Oryzias latipes: one gene and its partners. The protein of the gene in region 4 interacts with the protein of the main gene of each other region in a biochemical or structural test. Links are inferred from orthologs where the notes say so. Each region holds a gene or a part of one and is shown on either strand. Other genes may lie near its edges. The genes, in order: ATP-binding cassette sub-family D member 2, ATP-binding cassette sub-family D member 1-like, abcd3, pex19 and pex13.

Region 1 (4,230 bases), on a different chromosome or scaffold from region 4:
TGTTTAGGGACATTTATTTTCATAGCATCAGGGCTGGGGATGAGCTCATACCTCTTTGTAGGAGGACATGATCCTCTCAATGGCGTCGGCCCCCGAGACCAGGAGGTTGCGGGCCGTTGTGAACGCCTCCGTCCTCTCGCTCACCATGACCTGCGTCTGTCCATCCACCTTTTCTGCAAACACACAGGAACCAGGACCGATAGCTCAGACGCGTGACATCAGGACGGCATGACGGCACGTTTGCATTGACATAAAGGCTTGTGACGATCATGAAACCCAGGTTTGCTTCCTGCTGTGAGAGCGGCTAACCACCATGTTTCACGGATGCAAATCCTCCCCCATGAAAGGGAACCAATGCCTTTCTGTCAGAAGTCGTGCCCTGCAGCATTTTCCTCAAAGGCTCCTAGATTTTTACGGCACACAGTTCAACAGGAACAACAGAAGAGGACTGAACTTGAAGCAAAGTGACTGAGGGGGTTTACTGTGGATTCCCCTACCGCTGTCGGCAAATCCGGTGGCTGTGATGATGGGAACGGCCACCATGACGAGTCCACAGCCACTCCACACATACTTCATGAGGAACTGCTCGATCATGATGTACCAGAGGCGCTTGGACAGGATCAGGTTCATCTGGTCAGCCAGAGCCTTGTAGCACTTCTGCAGCTGACACATCTCCACCTGCAACACACACCTGACCTTCAGACGCACTGCCAGGAAAATGGCTTTCAGATGTTCTCTGATGATGGAGGACATGCTAGTAAAGACAACTGAAAAACGCATTTCTGACTCTCTTTGTTTCAATCGTTGTGAAGACAGATATGCGGTTTGAAAACAATCCTATTTGTTAGGTAGAAAATGAGCTTGGGGGGGGGGGGGCAGGAGCTCCCTGCTCGGCTGGTGGTACAGCCCGTCCACATGCAAATGAATCAGAATGGAGCAGAGCTCGTGGCCCGCTGATGTATCGTCTACATCATACATTTATGGTCTAATCCTGATTCATCCAGCTGTTCACGACTAAATCCTGGTCTGAACTGGATCTGGCTCAGAACTGGACTGCAGGACTACAGCTGGTCCCACTAATGTTAGGCTGCACAAAATGAGAAAAACGTCCAATGTTAGTAATCACTATTGCAATGATGATGAGACTTGAGGGAAAAACAACTTCATAATCCCAGTTTAGCACGAATAAGAGACTGCAATTTCTCTGAATGGGACACAGGGAAGACAAAGAACAACTATCTACCTTTGTGACAGTAAAACTACTATGGTTTAGACCAACGTAGGAAGCATTGGGCTTTTTAAAAACAGGATGGTTTCTCCTAACCCTGTCTGTGCGTGTGTGTAAACATCTAAGGTAAGCGTTGATCACGGTCTTTTGCTAAACGTGTTTCGCACAGTCTGACATCAAGATGCTGACGTTTTCTGGATTTTATTGTGCAGGCCTAGATGGTGTAGGAGTGGCTAATACTAGCAGGAGGGCATGGAAACAGAGAGCTCTCAGTTATGAGTGACAGGAAGAGGGGCGGCGGGATTGAGCAGCGCCACCCACTGCCACTCTGCAGAAACTATGTCCTAGAAAACAACACAGGTTTTTTTATTTTGTGTAGAAATTGCATTTTCACGAACAAGAAACCACTGGGAAGGCTTTGGTGTAAACAGAAAGCTCTCATTTTGGGTGAAGGGGGCCGGGGTTGCTTTGCAGCAAGCTATGACTCAAGAGGCAAGTTTCTAATAAACTACTGTTGCTCTGCAGTAACGTCGCTTGTTTTTTTTTGTTCAAACGGCATAACCATTGGACACAGATGCACATCTGCATTAATGCATGTCCAGACGGCTGCTTGCCTTGTGTCCTCTGTAGAAGGCGATCTCCTCGGCATTGGCGATGATCCGGGAGTGCACGTACCGCAGGAAGCCCTTCCTGTGCGCCTCCTCCGCCACCAGTTTGCCAAATTTGGGCGAGCACGCGCGCAGGACCATCGCCGTGACGCACACCACCGCCCCGGCCAGCAGGGTGGGCCCGGTGGGGCTGGCCCCCCTCGTCCTGGCGGTCTGGATCAGCGTGTAGGAGGTCAGGACCACGTCCAGGATGGGCTTGGTGAGGTTGGAGTACAGGTGGGCCACAGACTGGGAGAACATCATCACGTCCTCCGTGAGCGATTGGTCCGCGTTGGCGAGCCTCCCGTCCATGTTGCTGACTTTGTAGTAGGTCTGGTCGGTGAAGTAGGTCCGGTACGCGTGGTCCACTAGTCGGGTTCGGAAGGCCAGGGCCAGTTTGCACTCCAGGAACCGGATGGCGCTGTTGACGAAGGTGGCCGGGATGGCGATGAGGAGCCATTTGACCAGCTGGAGGATGAAGCGCTGCGGTTCCTTCTCCACGATCGTCTTCACGATCTTCCCGTCCAGGCTGGCCACGTAGATGGACAGAAACGTCCTGGAAATGAGCGCCACGGAGTGGAGGCTCAGCAGGCACAGCTCTTTGGAGACCAGCCGGGGGAAGAGGATTTTACCGAGCTCCAGGATCTGATGGAAAAACTCGGCGTTCAGCCCCGGCGAGGCTCTGGCTCCGGTCCCGGCGCTTTTGGGAGCTCTTCCCGGCACGCCGTTCGTGGTTTCCGCCAGCGAGTCGCTGCGGGGACTTTTGCTTTTGCAGATCAGCTTCCAGATGATCGGATACAGGCTTTTGACGCCGTAAGCGGCGGCCGCCAGGAACACGGCTCGCTTCGCCGCGGCCGTTCGGTCCCATTTCACTTTGGCCGCCGCATCGAGGAGGTTGGCCATCTTTGAGTGTTAGTGTTCTCCGCCAACGCGCCGCATGATGTCCATCCTCCGAGGTCGACGAGGGAAGTTGGCGTAGAGTGAATCCAGACATGTACCGCTACACCGGACGCCTTTTTGTATCAGAGACTAGCAAGGTAAACTAGCTAACAGCTGCACTTCCTGTTGTTCCACCAAAATTAAACGTCCCCACAGAGAGCAGGACAGTGCAGTAGAGTTCCACCTATGCTTTTATTTGATAAAACAGTTCAACTTCCGGTTTTAGCATCATCTTCTTCTTCGTGTTGCCTTTATGTACACTCTCGGTTCTTTATTAGAAACCCCCTCCAGAATCGACTCCATCAGGGTTTGTCCGTTTGCGCAGTTAGCCTATTTTTTGAGAGAAATAAAAACTTTTACCAAAGCTACGCCTACTAAGGCTTTTTTCAGCGCCTTGGTGGGGCAATAGCGCCTCCAATCGGGTGGCGCTGGGAACTGCGTCATTATTTGTTTGGTCTGCCTCAAGACTTTGGTTTAACGGCGCCGCGTGCCAAAAAAAATAAAAAATAAAAATAAGACAATGACATGTGAAGTGTATTAGTACTCTCCGTCCACCGGAGGGGAGTCCATACCGCCGGAAGTATCGTTGTTATGAAATAAGCACCTTGTTTTCTATTGGCCACGACAACAGTTATAAACGCTTCTTTTCTGCTGTATTAACAGTACATTCACTCTAATTTCACTTCTGTAAATACAGCAAAGCAAGTATCACAATTTACCGGTATATACATTTAAAAAGCCTCCACAAGGCACCGAACTATAACCCGATCTTTGGGAATGTATTCGTTCTCATCTAACGGTTGTTCTCTGACGTCATAGTTTTTTTAGCCAATCGGTATCCACCTGTTTTGGCGGTTATTACAGCCCTGTTACAGTTTAGCTAATTCCAGTGACATTTTGTCCATAAATTGTCTTTAAACATGAACTGGGTTGGAGGTTCAAGGTAAGTAAAGTTTAGCATAACTGCCTTTGAGCTAACTAAATGACCAAGAAATGATCAATACTTCAGGAACCGCTTGGTGATGAAGAACAATGCTAAAAAGCAGAGGGTGAGACAACCTGCAAAGAAAATATTTTCAAAAACTAAACTAGTAGGTTGTGCCCAGTAATACTTTATATTTTTTGTTTTTGTGTGTCTTAGGAGTTTTTTGAAAAGAAAAAAATGGAGCAAAAATTGAAGAAGTTGGGCATAAATCTTCCAAATTCCTCGTCTGGAAATGTTGGCTCTGGGAGCACAGACCTGATGACTTTACTTATTGTTAACCAGATCGCTACCAAGAAAGCAAACCAAGGTAAGATGGTGTTAGGCCACAATTATGCATTAGAATAATCTTCTAAATATCTCTGTGGCATAAAAGAAAAAATGCTTTTTGTACCAAAACCTTTTTTTAAAATTATGCTAATACGGGAACTTTT
Region 2 (4,051 bases), on a different chromosome or scaffold from region 4:
CAGAACTTTTAGGGCAATCTGCAGGAACAAAGTCAGCTATAAATCCAGATCCAAATTTAGAACAAGGTCCAAACCCAGGTTCAAATCTGGATGCGGGTCATCAAAGTGAAGCAATAAACAGAACTGCAAGTTTCAGTTTGGACCTTAAACAACTTCAGGATGAAAAAATAAATAAAAAAGACAATCAGACAATGATGTCATTGGGTTATTGATTTGTTTTCTGATTGACCAGTTCATCAGATGGCTTGATCCAGTTTTTGTACAAAGTTACAGTGGACTGACTGTTTTTATAATTTATTAATGAATGACTTTACAGCTTTGTTAGTGTTATTGATGTTGTTATTGACAAGACCGCATGTGCTACACACCTGTGCTGTTTTATTAAACCTCTGCTGTCCTACACACCTGTGTTGTTCAAGCCTGAGCTCTTTAACACACATTTGCTTTTTAATAAACAAGTGCTGTTTAAATCACCTGTATGACTTATTCGTCTTTGCTGTTTAGCTCCCATTCACTGAAGCAGAAAACAGTGCAGTTGCAGGTGTTATGCTGGTACTGTCCTGTTCCCGTGCTAACTCTCATGTCATGTGGTTGATTTTTGATCAGGTGTGGCTTGTCTCCTTAACCCTTGTGCTATCCTAGGCACTTTACCATTGGGAGTTGGGTCATCTAGACCCACTACACAGTGCTCTGAACCTTTTTTCTTCAATGATTTGTGATCTTCACTGGTGTCCATGGATTACATGAAATCTTTCCACCTTTATCATGGTAGGGAGAACACGTCAAAGTAAGGGTTGGGGGGGGGGGTCATCTAAGACAGCACAAGGGTTAAACACAATCAAAAAAGTATGTGTGTTTGTTAGTGAGGCTGAATACTCGAAGTTGACTAGTTTTATGGTCTCCATGATGCTACATATTTTTATCAGCACGTGGAGCATTTCCGTTTATCTTTGGACTTGTACCTGTTTCTGGCGGGAGTGGCCCCGCCTGCAGGGGGCAACGCGGTCATCAGGGGGCAGAAGGCTGCGCAGCGCACGGACTCTAGGCTGGTACGTTTTCACGCGGCGGGATTTCCGTGTTTTACCACGAAAAGATCAATATTCCCGCCGGTCACTGTGTTATTACGTCATTATTCGCGCCGACAAAGACGCGGCTGTCACGCGGCTGTGTGTGTCGAGATCCTTTCGAGGGGAGGGTGTGTGTTTGCGCGCGAGTGTGTCTCTGTGTGCGTGCCCACCTGACCTTTCCATAACGAACCTGACCCCCGAACCTACATTTATCTAGTGAAAGTTCCAGGAGGACCAGAACCAGGTCTTACGCCTGCGCGCCGGTCCTAAGGTTTTGTCCTTGACCGGGTCAGAACCTACAGGTCCGGGTAGGAGCGGGCTAGAGGAGAAGCCGTACAGCCGGCTCCGAGACGCTTGAGAGCGCTGTAAGGTTCGGGACTACGGTTCGGTCCGGAGGGTCCAGTTGTTGAAGGCGGGGTTAAAACCGGAACTGTCAGTTCCTGAAAGTTCCTGTTATCCGCTAGCTGTGTTATTACCGCCGCTGACAACAGGTCCGGTCCGGGAGGGTCCAGCTGGACGGTGCGTGTCTGGGCTCGGGTGGGGGGTGGTGGTGGTGGTGGGGGTTTGGAGACAGGGGGAGAGAAAGACAGCTAACGGGAAGTGCGACGGACAGGTTACGCGCACGCGCGGTAAAGTTTTCCCCCTGCCACTCGTTTAAAAGTCAGCGGACAAAAAAGTTCTGCCGAAGGTCAGTCCGACCCAACGAGCTCGGTTCTGGAATTGTGGGTCAGCTGCTGAGTCCATAACGGACTAACCTTCAAGCCTGTCTCGGTTTCTTGTGTTCACGTACGCGCACGCGCTCAGAGTCCTGCTGAGAGAAACCTGGAGTCCGTTTGGACTCCTTTCTGATGGAGGTTCTCTTCATGTCCTCTGGGTTCTGCAGTCAGGGACATTCTGTCTCACTGTGACGCATTTGTTATTGCTGTGAGTCCCGATCGACTGTCCCATTCTGGACCCGATCAGCATCAGCTCTGTGGAGACTCTGTCTGTGGTTCTGGACCGGTTCACCTCTCTGAACAGTTGTGTTCAGAACCTGCCTCACAGATGACATAAAGGTCCACTGGTCTGCAAGTGTGATGTAGCCTCTGACCTGTCATGTTCTCACCTGTGCAGGTGGAGGCAGACGGATGTCAACATGTGTCCTTGACAACGACCTTTGACCTCTCCTTGTGGCCGGCCCTCTGACTGGTCCTGCTGATGGCTTTCAGCATGCAGGTGGCCTATGAGAAGATGCCAGCTCAGCTGAGGCGGAGCTCCAGGCTCAGGAAGCTGTCGGCCCTGCTGCTCGCCGCCTATGCTGTCCGCAGACTTTCTCCGTACCTGTGGAGACGGTTGCAGGTGAGGCGCACCTGCACAGACAGAGGACACAGCGCCGTTGAACCGGTCTGTCTCAAACTCGCTAGAACTTTATCAAAAGAAAAGGAATAAAGGTTCAAAATGTACTGCTTGGAGGGAGTTTTTTTGGTCCACATGCACTCTTAATTAATTTAAGCTAATCTGGTTACATATCTGGACTGAATTAGAGTCCAAACTAATAAAGGGTCGTCTTCCTTGTGTAAAGGCTTTGACTTGACCTTTGCTGTGAGCTGGAGCTCCATAAATAAACTGATTAGCTTTGAGTTCTTGAAATGTTCATAAAGTGTTTTGCTCAAAATAACCGGTCTGACCTTACTTTAACCATCATCACACATAAGTACAACATGCATTACTATTGTACTATTCACTTCTACCATTTGTGCAATGCAAAGGTTTTATGATTCAGATTGGCTAAAGCGCTTGCTTCAACTAAATGACAGTTTGCCTTGACGTTTAACGTCTATCAAGCTTCTTATTATGCAGTTGGATTTGTTTACAGAGACTCATCTCCTTCCTGTTTTCACATGGATGGTGGCAGAGACACATGCTTTATAAACAGTGTAATCGAGTATATTAACATATTACTTGTAGTGAAATGCATTACTAATACATTAATTCTACGCTTGACACGTTCAGTAATGCCTGTATTACACCCATTGACTGTAAATGAGAGCCGGTTGAGTGACTCCTCCCCCTCATGTTCCAAACAGGAAGTGGTTCCAAGAAGCCAAAATCCTTCTATAGAGAAATAAACAGCTGGTACTCAGTCATTCTATTGTTCAGGATAAACATTCTTGTGCTGATGCCTTTTTTTAAACATGTTCTTTTTAATGCTCTTTTCATTTTTGTTTCTGTATTAAAAGTTATTCAAGTTTATAAACTGACCAATTAGATGCCTTAATGAAAGTATGTGGTCTCACGTTCAATATTCTAACTGATTGACTGACAGATTGTCCTGAGCCGGCAGGACAATCTGTACATCTACATCTGTCATCATATTGGTGGTAGGGGTGTGGACTTTTAACCCTTGTGCTATCTTAGATGACCCCACCCTTCCATTGACGTGTTCTCCCTACCATGACAAAGGTGGATAAAGGTGGAAAGATTTCATGTAATCCATGGACACCAGTGAAGATCACAAATCATTGAAGAAGAAAGGTTCAGAGCACTGTCTAGTGGGTCTAGATGACCCAACTCCCAACGTTAAAGTGCCTAGGATAGCACAAGGTTTAACAAGCCCACTGTTGACTCGACCAACTTGGACCAATCACAGCCACGAATAAAAAGATTTGATCATTTGCAACGTTTGATTGAAAGATTTTGTGTAGCCCGCTTTTCAAGCTTCCTACAACCTCACTCCTGATTCACATGGACTTAAAGAGCCTAGATCATGCTGTTCGTAAGCCTTTCAGATAAAACTATATTCATATATATGATCATTTTTTACCTTTGGCACACTTAAGAACAATTTCTTAAACAAAATAACTGTTTTTTTCCTACACGGAGGTAACCCACCTTTCTCTCCTTGAGGGTGTCGCCCGTTTGATGACGTCAACTTAGAGCCGGCCTCAGCAGCGTTTCTATATTTTGCCCACAAAGACAAGCAACAGCCGTTCCTCACTTTGTGA
Region 3 (3,511 bases), on a different chromosome or scaffold from region 4:
GAGCATCAGTCGCTTTGCAGAAAAATCTGAACAGTGGTTCAGATGACTTAAGTCTCACTTTAAACCGTTGCCGCACACATTGCACACATGTTGGATCTGTGTTACTAATGCCCCTCGCAAAGAGTGCAAACTCGTCTGCTGTTGCTTTAGGATTTGCTGATAATCCACCCAAAATATTTGCACCTGGATAACAGGTGCAAACAAGATATTAAAAGAAGGACTGCTGAAGGTTTGCTGTTGTTTGCAAACTTTAAGTCAAAACAATGCAGAGGAGCGATGAGTTGAAGTTGTGAGATGGTTGATGCCCAATAATAAAACAGACGGCAGCCTTTAAAGATGATCTGAAGCCTCAAATCCAGAAGCGGTCTTCTGTCATATGAGCTGTGAGGTAAGACACTTGGGTCATTACAGAAGACCCACTCTGCACCTGATGATGGTCGATGGTACCCTGGGAAGTGTAAGGCGGGGGTTGAGGGTTCTCAGCTGCCCCCAGAGTAAAGAAGCTCTGGTGTTGTGGAGAAAAATGAAAGAGATGGAACATGAGGACTGGGAAAAACTGGAAAATAGAAATGACTTGTCAGCAGTATAAAAAATTCTATGATAACACAGTCGATATTTTTTGTGGCAGGCATGCAAATATCTGATGTTCTAAAGTAATCTGACCAATGGCATTGGTGACAGATGAAGATTAAAACCAAATCTCTTGTGTTTGCAGGGTTCAGAGCAAACTCATCCCTGCAACACTCACTGCAAGCATGAACGAAATGCAGCCAAAAGTCTCACATCTCAGTAGCTCTCATTTAGAAGATGCTGATGTTTGTGTGATAGTTTACTTGCGTTATGTCAGTTTCAAATCGGTGCTTGCAAGTTTTCTTTGGATGAAATGTTCTGGGGTCAGAGTCTGAACCAACAAACTACACCTGTAAAGTGGTCAGTTTACCTAAAATGTGTGGGCTGAATGAATATACACTGAGAGCCTAAAGAACGTCAGTTCTGCCCTGGAGATTACAGGGAAGTCTGCAACAAGTCCGGTGGAAAGCCATGCATGCATGTATGTAGATAACTTTGTGATGGAAACGGAATGAAACGGCTAACCTGATCATGATTTGTGTTGTGAAGGTGACGTCGGGCAACAACGTTCTGGTGTGTGGACCTAACGGATGTGGGAAAAGTTCTCTGTTTCGAGTCCTTGGAGAGGTAAGAGTAGTGGTTTGGAATGGAGCTTATCTGAGCATGCTCAGTCTGCACACTGCACCACAGACATGACTTCAGCTTCCTGTCACTGACAGAGTAAAGCTCTGTCTCCACTAACTATTTCATGGGTTCTGCATGTAAACAGGACCTGGGTTTGAACACTGGAGTAGCTGCTCCACTTCATCACTCTGTACATGAATTCAGCGGAGCGCCACAGAGAGTCTCACAGGGGATGGGAGGGTGTTACAGTGATAAATGATGTAGAAATTGTTCTAAGCAGTGGAGAGGTGTAATTACATGCTTCACTTCAAAACTCGACCTGATGGAATCACAGAGGCCAGTGTGACTTTTTAGAATCATTGGATCTGGAACTGTACATTCACACCGACGTTTAGCATATGGCGTTCACACTGGACTGTGGTTACACGATACTAGAGAGGCTTGGTGTGAAACGTCAGAAACGGTGCCAGTCTTGTGAATTTGGCTTTAGGCCTTTTCTTTCACAGCTCTATTCTGATTTATGAAAGACTTTGTGTCAATGAATTCCATCTGGAAACAGACTGCAATTATTCATTTCTCCTCCATGATCAGTTTTCAAGTGGTTGGTATTTGGAAACTATCCATACGTCACTACCAACTCCAAGTCCCTGACTGGCGAAAGTTCATTGGCAGAGCCCAAACTGGTGGAAACCTGCACAGCTATGCGTGAACGTGAGAGTTTTGAACACTGAAGCCCGAAATAGGCATATACGTGCGAACATTGGAAGACGTTGATTGAACATGCATTGCTGCCAACAGGAATTCACCCACTGGACACTAAAAGAAAAGCTTGAAGGGAGTTCTTTGAGTCTCCCAGTCTGTTTGGATCTGCTGAGATTCTGTTACCTGAACTCAAATGCAGAGTGAATTACTGACCCGTGGAATCTCCTGAACCTTTAGGCCTTTAAAACTCCAACAGAAGCCTGGAGCTCAGAGCTTTGGTAGGCCTCACATGTCGCATGGTCTTCAGGCTGTTAAAGCAGCTGGGAGGGAAACGGCTGAACCGTGGAGTGACAGGAGAAAGACTGGTCCTTGAATGCAGACGTAGCTAAGTGACTTGTGTTTCTTCTTCACTGTGAACAGTTGTGGCCTCTCTTTGGCGGAGAGCTCACCAAACCAGAGCGAGGGAAGCTCTTCTACGTTCCTCAGGTCAGTCGGTGGTTGAAAATAGAAAATCTTTAATGAGGCATTAAAAAATAGCAGCCTTGAACATTTTCATTTTGAACAACGTTCAGACTGACTTTATGTTTACTTTCATAGTTTTTTTGTGTATCAAAGACTTGCTTGTTTGTTTTCCCTGAGTTCGGAGATAGAAGGCAGTATAATAATCTGATTTCTCTGAAAGTTGTCCGAGCAGCCTGGGAACTGTCCGGAATATTTCATTCCATTGGCTGCTGTTTCCACAGAGACCCTACATGACTCTGGGCACTCTGAGGGATCAGGTGATTTACCCCGACACCTGTGAGGAACAGAGGAGGAAGGGCATCTCTGATCAGGTTGGCCTTCGTTCTACCTTTGTGCTCTCCTCATCCTCAGCTGCTCTGATGGTTATGCAATTAAACCAGACAGTAAAGAGCTCGTCATCTGCTGAAAAAATAGTTTTATTTTTCAATCGTTCATTCCCTGAGTTAAAATGTTGCAGATGCTGGGAGCTGCTGTCAGAGGCAGCTGCCAATCAAACTTGGCCCCGCCCATTCTGACTATTTCTGGAGTTGTGTGCGGAGTAAGCTCCAGTGAAGTTCACTCATCAGGTTCTGATGGAGGACATCAGAGGGTCTACAGTTGAGCTGAGCTCAGTATTGATGAAGCTGCATGTGGATTCTGGATTTGGATCTTGATGACATGCAGACAACAGATGGCATCTTTTTTTTACATCAGCCGCACTTTCTGAATCAGTGTTGTGTCGAAGTAAATATCAAGTAGTGTCAAGAAATATTTTTGTGTACATCTGTGTGTAGGTTTTGAAGCAGTATCTGGACAACGTTCAGCTGGGTCACATCCTGGACAGAGAGGGTAGCTGGGATTCGGTCCAGGACTGGATGGATGTTCTCAGTGGAGGAGAGAAGCAGAGGATGGCTGTACGGACCCTTCCCTAAGCTCAGTCGGACTGTTAGTGGATTTTTCAAAGTGACTGATAATTGTGTATTTGTGCAGATGGCCAGATTGTTCTACCACAAACCCCAGTTCGCCATCTTGGACGAGTGCACAAGTGCAGTTAGCGTGGACGTGGAGGACTTCATCTACAGTCACTGCAAAACGGTGAGGAGCGACAGAAGCA
Region 4 (4,081 bases):
GACTCAAAACAAAATGTTAAAAATTGTATTTAGGAGATTCATACTTTGGTGCAACAACTCTTCTCAGGCATAATAGTTAAATGGTGGTTTTAAACGCCATGCTCTGGTTGTACCCACAAAAAATGTGGCAAATCTTCTGTACCTATAAGAAAAATCTTCTATCGCATCTTTTTTTTTTTTTGGTGCCTCCCGGTGCTGCCAGACAGCTGAGAGCATGGACTCTCCTACAGGGGTCAGTGTCTGCTCCAAGCATCAGATAGGTGCCTCATGATCAGCATGACACTTTTCACTACTACTGATTGGAATGTTCGTGTGCTGCAGACTGACTTCCAACTGTTGTGCTGCCAAACCATGTTGCAGTGTTTGGAATCACACCTGTCTGCACCCTTTAATGCTTTAATGTCCAAAACCAAGCAGGAGCCGTAACGTCCCACTTTAATGTTTAGATAACTACTGTGTGACTATTAAACCATTCATTGATCAAATGTATTTTAACATTATTTATATAATGTTTCAGGTATTAATATTGACAGAATCATACCAGTCCTATATTTTTCTAAAGATAACTTTTGACAGCAGAAAAGCAAGTTCTTTTCAAAATAAAATACATCCTGTATCAACTGAGGTCCTCTTGCTGCTGTTGCAGTTTTACTTGCAACTATATACGTTTAAGAACTGTAGGACAGCTGAAGATAAGAATATATGATTTAAATTTATTAAATAAAAAAACAGTTCTAACGGTAGATTAAACCTTTAAGCATCATTTTGCCAATATTTATCTGACGTTTGCATCTTGGAGGAGTGGTCAAGCTCCCAAAGCCTCTTTGTAGTTTCATGACAGCAATAGTTTAAAAATAAGACAGTTTTCTATGCTAATTTAAAATTTTGAGAGTGCCAATAAACCCATTTATTGCTAAATGCTAAAAAGAACTTAATATACAGATTACATTAAAATCTCTTTTTTAAAAAGGTGTATAGATATATATTTTTTTTACTTCAAGCACATTTTGAAGACAAATATTTCCGAAAAAGACTCACTTAAGTTGCAGAGCATAAAACTGTGCCACTGAACTTTTGATTGTTACGTTTTTAAGTTGATGAAACGGTCGGTGGTCACGAAAATGAGGGACAAAGCGTCACATGTTGATCCTCCTGCATGTGATCCGCAGAGAAAAGCTGTTATGCCTACTCACGCCACCAGGTGGTGCCAGATTTCGGTATGGGCTTGTGACGTAGAGTATGTGCGACGTTTTTTATAGCCAGAACGTCAATTTTGTGAGACAAAGCTGTCTTAGCATTATGGCGTCCGGAGGAGAAGAGGTGTCCGGTGGAGTAGACGCAGAACTGGACGAGTTACTGGACAGTAAGTTCGTCAGGAAGGAATATTAGGTTCACCCTTTTACGTGTCTGTCTGTTGCTAGGAAGATTTCGCTGCTTGGACACTTCTGATGACCGTGTATAAGCTTCAGGTGCTCGGTAGCAGTGACAGTTACCAAAGTATCGCTGACTGACAGCTCGCACGGGCTTCAAAATAAAGCCAGTTTAAGCCGTTTTCAAATGTTTTTGGATATTAATTGTTTAAAAAAAAGTGGATTATAGAGATATAGTTTATAGAAAATGTTAAAGAGGTGTTGTTATTTTTTCAATATTACAATATTGTCAAAATTTTCAGGAACATTTTATTGTTGTTTTTTTCCTTGTTGATTTATAAATACTTCTAATATGTCATCTGTGGTTGCTTTGTGTTACTTTTATAGTTTTGTCTTCTGCTGTATTCTTAAATGTTATTGTTCAGGTCTAGTTTTAAAATAGAAATTATTGACAAATAAGATAGATAGATATCTTAACTTATACTAGGGATGTAAAAGAAAGATACAGATGTTCATCAAAAAGGGATCAAGCACAGAGAATCGCAGTAGAATTGGTTGAAAAACCACAGATACAAACAAGTGTGGGTAAAAATGTGTTAAACTGTTCAGGAAGTTATAAATTCTTCTGATAACCATTTTTCTCACATCACATAAAACAATACATGAATAAATTAATATGACACCTTTTTATTTAAGAAACGAAGCAGCCTACAATGCAGGTTTAAATATTCATTGAATGAATAATAAATATTCAGATTGTATTTGTTTAGTCAAAAGAATTGGACTTTATCCTGTCGCCACAAAGTTAGTTGAACCTTTTATGCATCGATTCATGGACCAAATATTGAGATGCGTCTACTTACTTATCATTTTGTCAGCTTGACCTCTTCACTGCTGCTGCATTTTATGTTTATTATCTGATCAAAAGTAAAACAGACTGACCATCCAAACAGAAACTAAACAATTACTGAGCTGAAAGTATTGCTTTTTTTTTTAAGGCAATCGATCAAATATTTCATATATTGCTTGGATAATAAATGCCTACTGCTGTGTCTTTTTCCTTTAGGCGCTTTGGATGACTTTGACAAAGCCTCCTCTCCTCCGGCCCCTGAAGCTGCAGCAGCCTCTTCCTCAGCCAGCAGTGGTGCAGAGAAGGTCTGTGTCTGCTTCTGTTCATTAGGATTCAGCTGCCTTCTGCTTGGACTGAAAGACCCCATCAATAGTACGATCTTCACAAGTCTTCCATTTCTGCCTGTAGCCCCCCCTGCTTGAGGACTGCAAACTCTTTGAGAGTCTCTTTGAGGGGGACATGGCGACCCAGGCCAGGGACGAGTGGGAGAAGGCCATGTCCGAGCTGGCCCAGGAGGAGCCAGAACTGCTGCAGCACTTCCAGAAACTGTCAGAGGCAGCAGGCAAAGTCGGTAAGAGGAGTTATTTGTTGTGAATCTTTGTTATACTGAATGTGTCGGTCTTGCAGTCTAAGTTGCGTGTTTGCTCCAAACAGGGACAGACACAGCTTCCCAGCAGGAGTTCACTTCCTGTCTGAAGGATACCCTCCGTGGCCTGGCGAAGAATGCAGACAACCTCCAAGTTGGCTCCTTAGACGTAAAGGAATATTGGTGTAAAGCTTTTGAAGGAAAATAATGACAATTGTTTTGTTTTACCCAGTCTTCAGGTCTAGCTGGAGATGACCTGGTTAAGGCTCTTGAGGGTCTTGGGTTGGATGAGGGTGGGGAAGGGGGTGGAGACGATGGGAACATCCTCCCCGTCATGCAGTCCATCATGCAGAACCTGCTCTCTAAAGAAGTGCTGTATCCTTCTCTCAAAGAAATCACCACTAAGGTCTGCAGATGTTTCCTCTGAACCCATCAGACTCTGAATCCACTCTTCCAGCTTTGACCGTTGACGTCTCACCTTCACAGTACCCAGAGTGGCTGCAAGCAAACAAGCCCAGCTTAAGTGCAGAGGACTACCGCCGCTACGAACAGCAATCCAAAGTCATGGGAGATATCTGCAAGCTCTTTGAGGCCGAGGAACAGGGAGTAGAAAACAAAGAGAGAACTTTTGAGAGCATCATGGACCGGATGCAGCAGGTGATGCAGCTTTTTTCTTTTGGGACAATATTTACAATTGATTTGTTTATTTAAATTTGCTTTTTATGTTTTCTGTTTTGACATCATCCACATTATTCTGAATCATAGTAAAAGTCACAACACATCACTTTTTCGACGATCCAGCTGCAGGATGTCCATCATTTATGGATGTGATGGTTGCAAAGCTCTTTTAATATCTTTAGGGACTGTTGATGGCTAAACTGTTTCCCTGTAAAACTGATTTTAAAAAGGTCACTGAACACACACTGTTATTGCCGTTACGGCTAACAAGCAGCATTTAAAAGTTTAGATATTGTAAGCTCAAAAAATACCCTTCAAACACAAATTTCCCAGTTATTATCTTCTTACAGAGATAATAACTACATTATAATTATATTATAATTTATACTATAAATTAAGTTATTAATGTAAGCTTATTAAAAATGCGCCTTTAAGCATATCCATGGACAAAAAATGTTGTGTTTATTAGTTCAAACATGCAAGGTTTTTGGTTTTTTGGACAGGAACTCAACTGTTTTGTGTTTAATTATCTCCTTATAGCTGCAGGATCTAGGCCAGCCACCCAAGGAATTGGCAGGAGATGTGGTAAGTTTGGCT
Region 5 (4,213 bases), on a different chromosome or scaffold from region 4:
GCCGGTTGCTTCAAGGCTTACTCCTGATGTTTCTTCAGGTTATTGAGTCATGCAGCACAAACGATATTTTTATATATGATGTTTTACAGTCAGGAAGGGACTCTTGGTTTGCTTTGCTACCACTTTTCGATTGAGTGGTAACTCAAGTCCAAAACCAGGTCACAACAGAAAAAAGCTTTTACAAAGCTCTTGCAAAGCATCGCAGGCAATCCCACCAAACCACTTTGTATCAGGTATCTTCAGAACTCTGGCATCTTCTCACCAGATGACACTTAGGATTCCCACCTTAATCTAGCAAACCAAATACCATGATGCCACAGATGACGGAGTCGGCCTCACACGCCCACACTGTGGGGATGACACAGAGCTCGTCTCTGATAGAATGCGAATCGACAGCTCTGCACGCGCTCCCCCACATCTCCTGCCTTCACACTTGACATCACAGAGACTCCCTCTTGAAACCACAGCTCACTTTGCACACACTGAGGCTCTTCAGAGCAGCCTTTTTCACCACTCCCCATCTCAGCTAGGGTTGACTGACGTTGGTTAGTGGGGGGGCAAAGAACTGACATCAGATTTTCACTGTTCGTCCAATGAAATACATGCATGTAATAAAGATCTGGATGCAGTTTTAAGCTTTTGTGATCAATTTAAAGACATTAAACACTTGATATGTAAGCATCCCTTCATGGCAGTTAAAAAAAACATGAACAATATTGAAGTTACTTTTGTGGACTAAACATAAGTTTCATACTGAAACTCCTCTTTCAATTTGTTGTTTTTATTACTAAATAGATCAAATAAATATAATGAACATTTTGAATATTGTTTTAAATATATAAAAATGTATTAAAGTCATTACATCGTTCATAAATTATTTATTAATATACATTATTTTGAGGTTCAAAATTTATGAGAGAAGAGTAATTGATTTTGTCATTACCCATCACTTTTCTGTTGATTCTTTGCGCCCTCTGGTGGACAAAGGTAAAATGAGATTTTCGGTGGATTAAAATGATCAGACAGTACTAATCGAGTTGATTTCATCGATACGCCCATATTTTGAATAATTTAAATAATAAAAAGCAAAAATTGTTTTAAAAAAATCTCTATACAAATTGAATAACATAGTAAGATTCAGAAGTCCCGAAGTGTTTAGACCGGTTTGGATTGATTTGTGGTACGAATATCAACTAGTCTTGCCTGACTTGCTGTTTTCGATTGCTAAAGTGGTACCTTCAATATAAATTGGAAATTCCAAAACGATAAAAGTAAACTACCTAGTAAGCTAGTGTTTCATTTGTTGAAATAACCATTATTGATCAGCCAAAGTAAAACATGTTACATGAAAAGCCACAAAAAAGAGAATAGAAACATACAAAAATATTACAAATCAAATCCCTTAGAATAAAGAAAAAAACAAGGAGTTCAGGAAGGCAACACGGCAAGTCACAGGAGGACATCTGTCATCACAGATATTTTTTAGCTAACCATCACAAACTTCGCGATGGATTCACAGCCCCCACTCAAACCGTGGGAAAGGCGAATTCCTGGGGGTATGAGCGCACCTATAAACTACAGGTAAATGAGATTCAGGAAGTTATTTGTAGGGTTATTAGTTGTTGTTTCGAAGTTTTCCTAGGTAGCCTAATGCTAACGTTGCTAAAGGAGCTACTGCTAAACAATTACAGAACAGAACGAAACACCATATGAAACGCTGGTTAAAGCTATTACTGATTTATAATCAGGATAGTTGTATCTAAGGTACACTAGTTAATTTCAAATATGTTTAAAATTCGTCTAATTGTTTTTAGACTGTGTTTTTAGACTTGTTTTAGTACTTGTTGCTACTAGTTTGCATAGTAGCCAGGCCCCCGTAGTTGCCAGATATTTGTTGCATTGCCTTAATAAACGCAAAAGTTTTGCTATGAATTTTTTGAAAGATATTATCTTTCTGTTTGATTTTTTAATAGTAGCAGTTTTAAATCCATTAAGAACGAAAAAGCAGAAAGTCTTGTTATTTTGCTCAGATTTCTTGGTTGTCCTGCTGGTTTAGCTCCATCACTTTCTTTACACACAGATCGACAGACTTTGGACCAATTGCAGGCTCCTCCATTCCTGCTGGCCCTCCAGTTCTGACCAGAATGGCTCCTCCAGTGCCTGCTCGCCCGCTCCAGCAGTCATACCGCCCATCCTATTCCTCTTTCACCTCCTCTTACAGCCCCTATGGAAGCTCCATCTATGGGGGTTACAGCCCTTACAGCTATGGCGGCGGTTATGGCGGTGGCTTCGGTGGCAGCTATGGTCCGGGAGGGTACAGTCGTTTACCCCACACAGAAGAAATCGCCCCCAGCCGGTTTGTGCAGCAGGCAGAGGAGAGCAGCCGTGGAGCCTTCCAGTCCATTGAAAGCATCGTCCAGGCTTTTGCTTCGGTTAGCATGATGCTGGACGCCACCTTCTCCGCCGTGTACAACAGTTTTCGTGCCGTGCTGGACGTAGCCAATCACCTAACAAGGCTGCGTGCTCACCTCACTAGAGTTTTGTCAGCCTTCGCTCTGGTGCGCACGCTGCGGTATCTCTACCAGCGTTTGCTGCGGCTGCTGGGGAGGAGGTCAGATGTGGAGGACTTGTGGGCTGACAGCACAAGTGATGCTGTGGTGGCGGGTTCCTCCAGGGGATATGAGGCAGGAATGGATGAACAGAGCGTGAAGTCCTGGCCTATTTTCCTCTTTTTTGCTGTGGTTCTGGGTGGACCTTACCTCATCTGGAAGTTGTTGAGCTCCAGCCCCAGCTCTGATGAAAATAGTAAGGCTGGCATTGAATCCTTAATTTTATTGGTTTATTTTTCCGTTTGTTTGAAGAATTTACAACAGAAGATCATAAAAACACCAAACCAATGACCACAGTGTGGAGTTGTCGATTAAAGTATTATTCATTTAATAATACTATTCAATTATCTTGATGTAATCGTGTTTCTTCTACTTGATGTGCTCAATAGAAATGTTGTTGTTTTTTTCAGGTACAAACTGGGCCAGCGGGGAAGACGATCATGTCGTGGCTCGGGCTGAGTATGATTTCTCAGCAGCTTCTGAAGAAGAAATTCCTTTGCGGGCTGGAGACATGCTAAACCTGGCCCCTAAAGGTGAGACCTTCCTCAAATGTGTCGTGATTAATTAAAGTATTCCATAAAACTGCCTTTATTAACAATTGGTATATTTAAATTCTGGTTGCAGAGCAGCAACCGCGGGTGCGAGGCTGGTTGCTGGCCAGTGTGGATGGCCAGACAATTGGACTGGTCCCAGCTAACTATGTGAAAGTCCTTGGCAAGAGGAGAGGCCGCAAGCACGCGGAGATGGAACGGCTCGCTGAGGTCCAGGAGGAGAACCAGCGGGCCTCTCAAACACCAGCAGCTGCGCATGGTTCCACTTCAGATCTCTCCACAGCCTCCATGGCTCCCTCGACAGACCACCTACTAGAATCAGTATACAGAGAAATCCCAGCTGCCTTCGCTCTGGGAACATCCAACTCCAGCATGAGCTCTGACACAGTGTTGAATATCCCTGAAAAGACGGACCTGTGACGACTGTGTGTGCATGTGTTGCATTTACATCGTCTGTCAGTCAGTTCAAGTTTATCATTTCACTAATCAATTCTTCTGTAGGTCTTTGATTTCATTCATCAGCACAGTTTTCCTCTTAAAGTAAAATGGCTCAGAATCGTTTTTGTGTGAGATGATGTGTACTACATCGTCTTTGTGTTCTGTGAAGTCCAATTATGGGATGCATTGATGTATGTTAATGGGAAATGTAAAAGGGTTGTTGATGTCATGATATACATGTGAGGTTTCACCCTCAGGTGAAGCCGGGTGGACATCTGTAGGTTGTTGTTTTTTTTTGGATCAAGTGAAATTTGATTCACTCAGAAATAAGAAAGACTAGCTTTGCACATTTTAAAGTTTGTTAGTCCAATGTAATTTTGTAAATACTTAAAATAATTATTTTGAAAATAAATCTAATGGATTATTTTTTGCAGTATTAATCTGCAACCAAAAAAAAGCACGTCTTATTTTATTATTTGTGTCGAAAAATGTTGCGTGCGTGCGTGTGGAAATGACAGCTCTGTTTGATGTACGACAGAAATTTTGGATTTACGGTTTTCGTTTCCAGGCAACAGGACGCCCTTGGCTGCTGCAGTGCGACATCGGGGGCGACTC

The links.
Region 1: the proteins of pex19 (region 4) and ATP-binding cassette sub-family D member 2 form a complex in vitro, tested with the Homo sapiens proteins (3 studies listed by BioGRID and IntAct, with this or other methods). The link is inferred for Oryzias latipes from reciprocal best matches to the Homo sapiens genes PEX19 and ABCD2.
Region 2: the proteins of pex19 (region 4) and ATP-binding cassette sub-family D member 1-like form a complex in vitro, tested with the Homo sapiens proteins (3 studies listed by BioGRID and IntAct, with this or other methods). The link is inferred for Oryzias latipes from reciprocal best matches to the Homo sapiens genes PEX19 and ABCD1.
Region 3: the proteins of pex19 (region 4) and abcd3 form a complex in vitro, tested with the Homo sapiens proteins (4 studies listed by BioGRID and IntAct, with this or other methods). The link is inferred for Oryzias latipes from reciprocal best matches to the Homo sapiens genes PEX19 and ABCD3.
Region 5: the proteins of pex19 (region 4) and pex13 form a complex in vitro, tested with the Homo sapiens proteins (2 studies listed by BioGRID and IntAct, with this or other methods). The link is inferred for Oryzias latipes from reciprocal best matches to the Homo sapiens genes PEX19 and PEX13.

What each region holds. Positions count from the first base shown.
Region 1 is NC_019881.2:636,234-640,463, forward strand, and holds the start of ATP-binding cassette sub-family D member 2, read right to left. Parts: upstream 2,808-4,230; 5' UTR 2,779-2,807; coding exon 1,843-2,778; intron 679-1,842; coding exon 498-678; intron 174-497; coding exon 52-173; intron 1-51. Other genes in the region: c23h12orf40 (uncharacterized protein C12orf40 homolog), read left to right, coding at 3,735-3,757, 3,824-3,863, 3,956-4,106.
Region 2 is NC_019865.2:30,246,660-30,250,710, forward strand, and holds the start of ATP-binding cassette sub-family D member 1-like, read left to right. Parts: upstream 1-1,240; 5' UTR 1,241-1,586; intron 1,587-2,180; 5' UTR 2,181-2,264; coding exon 2,265-2,405; intron 2,406-4,051. UniProt on the Homo sapiens protein: ATP-dependent transporter of the ATP-binding cassette (ABC) family involved in the transport of very long chain fatty acid (VLCFA)-CoA from the cytosol to the peroxisome lumen.
Region 3 is NC_019878.2:5,064,014-5,067,524, forward strand, and holds part of abcd3 (ATP-binding cassette sub-family D member 3), read left to right. Parts: intron 1-1,119; coding exon 1,120-1,197; intron 1,198-2,316; coding exon 2,317-2,382; intron 2,383-2,639; coding exon 2,640-2,729; intron 2,730-3,191; coding exon 3,192-3,311; intron 3,312-3,387; coding exon 3,388-3,492; intron 3,493-3,511. UniProt on the Homo sapiens protein: Broad substrate specificity ATP-dependent transporter of the ATP-binding cassette (ABC) family that catalyzes the transport of long-chain fatty acids (LCFA)-CoA, dicarboxylic acids-CoA, long-branched-chain fatty acids-CoA and bile acids from the cytosol to the peroxisome lumen for beta-oxydation.
Region 4 is NC_019875.2:3,245,576-3,249,656, reverse strand, and holds the start of pex19 (peroxisomal biogenesis factor 19), read left to right. Parts: upstream 1-1,271; 5' UTR 1,272-1,299; coding exon 1,300-1,363; intron 1,364-2,436; coding exon 2,437-2,525; intron 2,526-2,628; coding exon 2,629-2,791; intron 2,792-2,874; coding exon 2,875-2,975; intron 2,976-3,038; coding exon 3,039-3,212; intron 3,213-3,292; coding exon 3,293-3,463; intron 3,464-4,024; coding exon 4,025-4,069; intron 4,070-4,081. UniProt on the Homo sapiens protein: Necessary for early peroxisomal biogenesis. Acts both as a cytosolic chaperone and as an import receptor for peroxisomal membrane proteins (PMPs).
Region 5 is NC_019873.2:7,361,715-7,365,927, forward strand, and holds pex13 (peroxisome biogenesis factor 13), read left to right. Parts: upstream 1-1,410; 5' UTR 1,411-1,507; coding exon 1,508-1,581; intron 1,582-2,080; coding exon 2,081-2,805; intron 2,806-3,019; coding exon 3,020-3,142; intron 3,143-3,233; coding exon 3,234-3,580; 3' UTR 3,581-4,055; downstream 4,056-4,213. UniProt on the Homo sapiens protein: Component of the PEX13-PEX14 docking complex, a translocon channel that specifically mediates the import of peroxisomal cargo proteins bound to PEX5 receptor.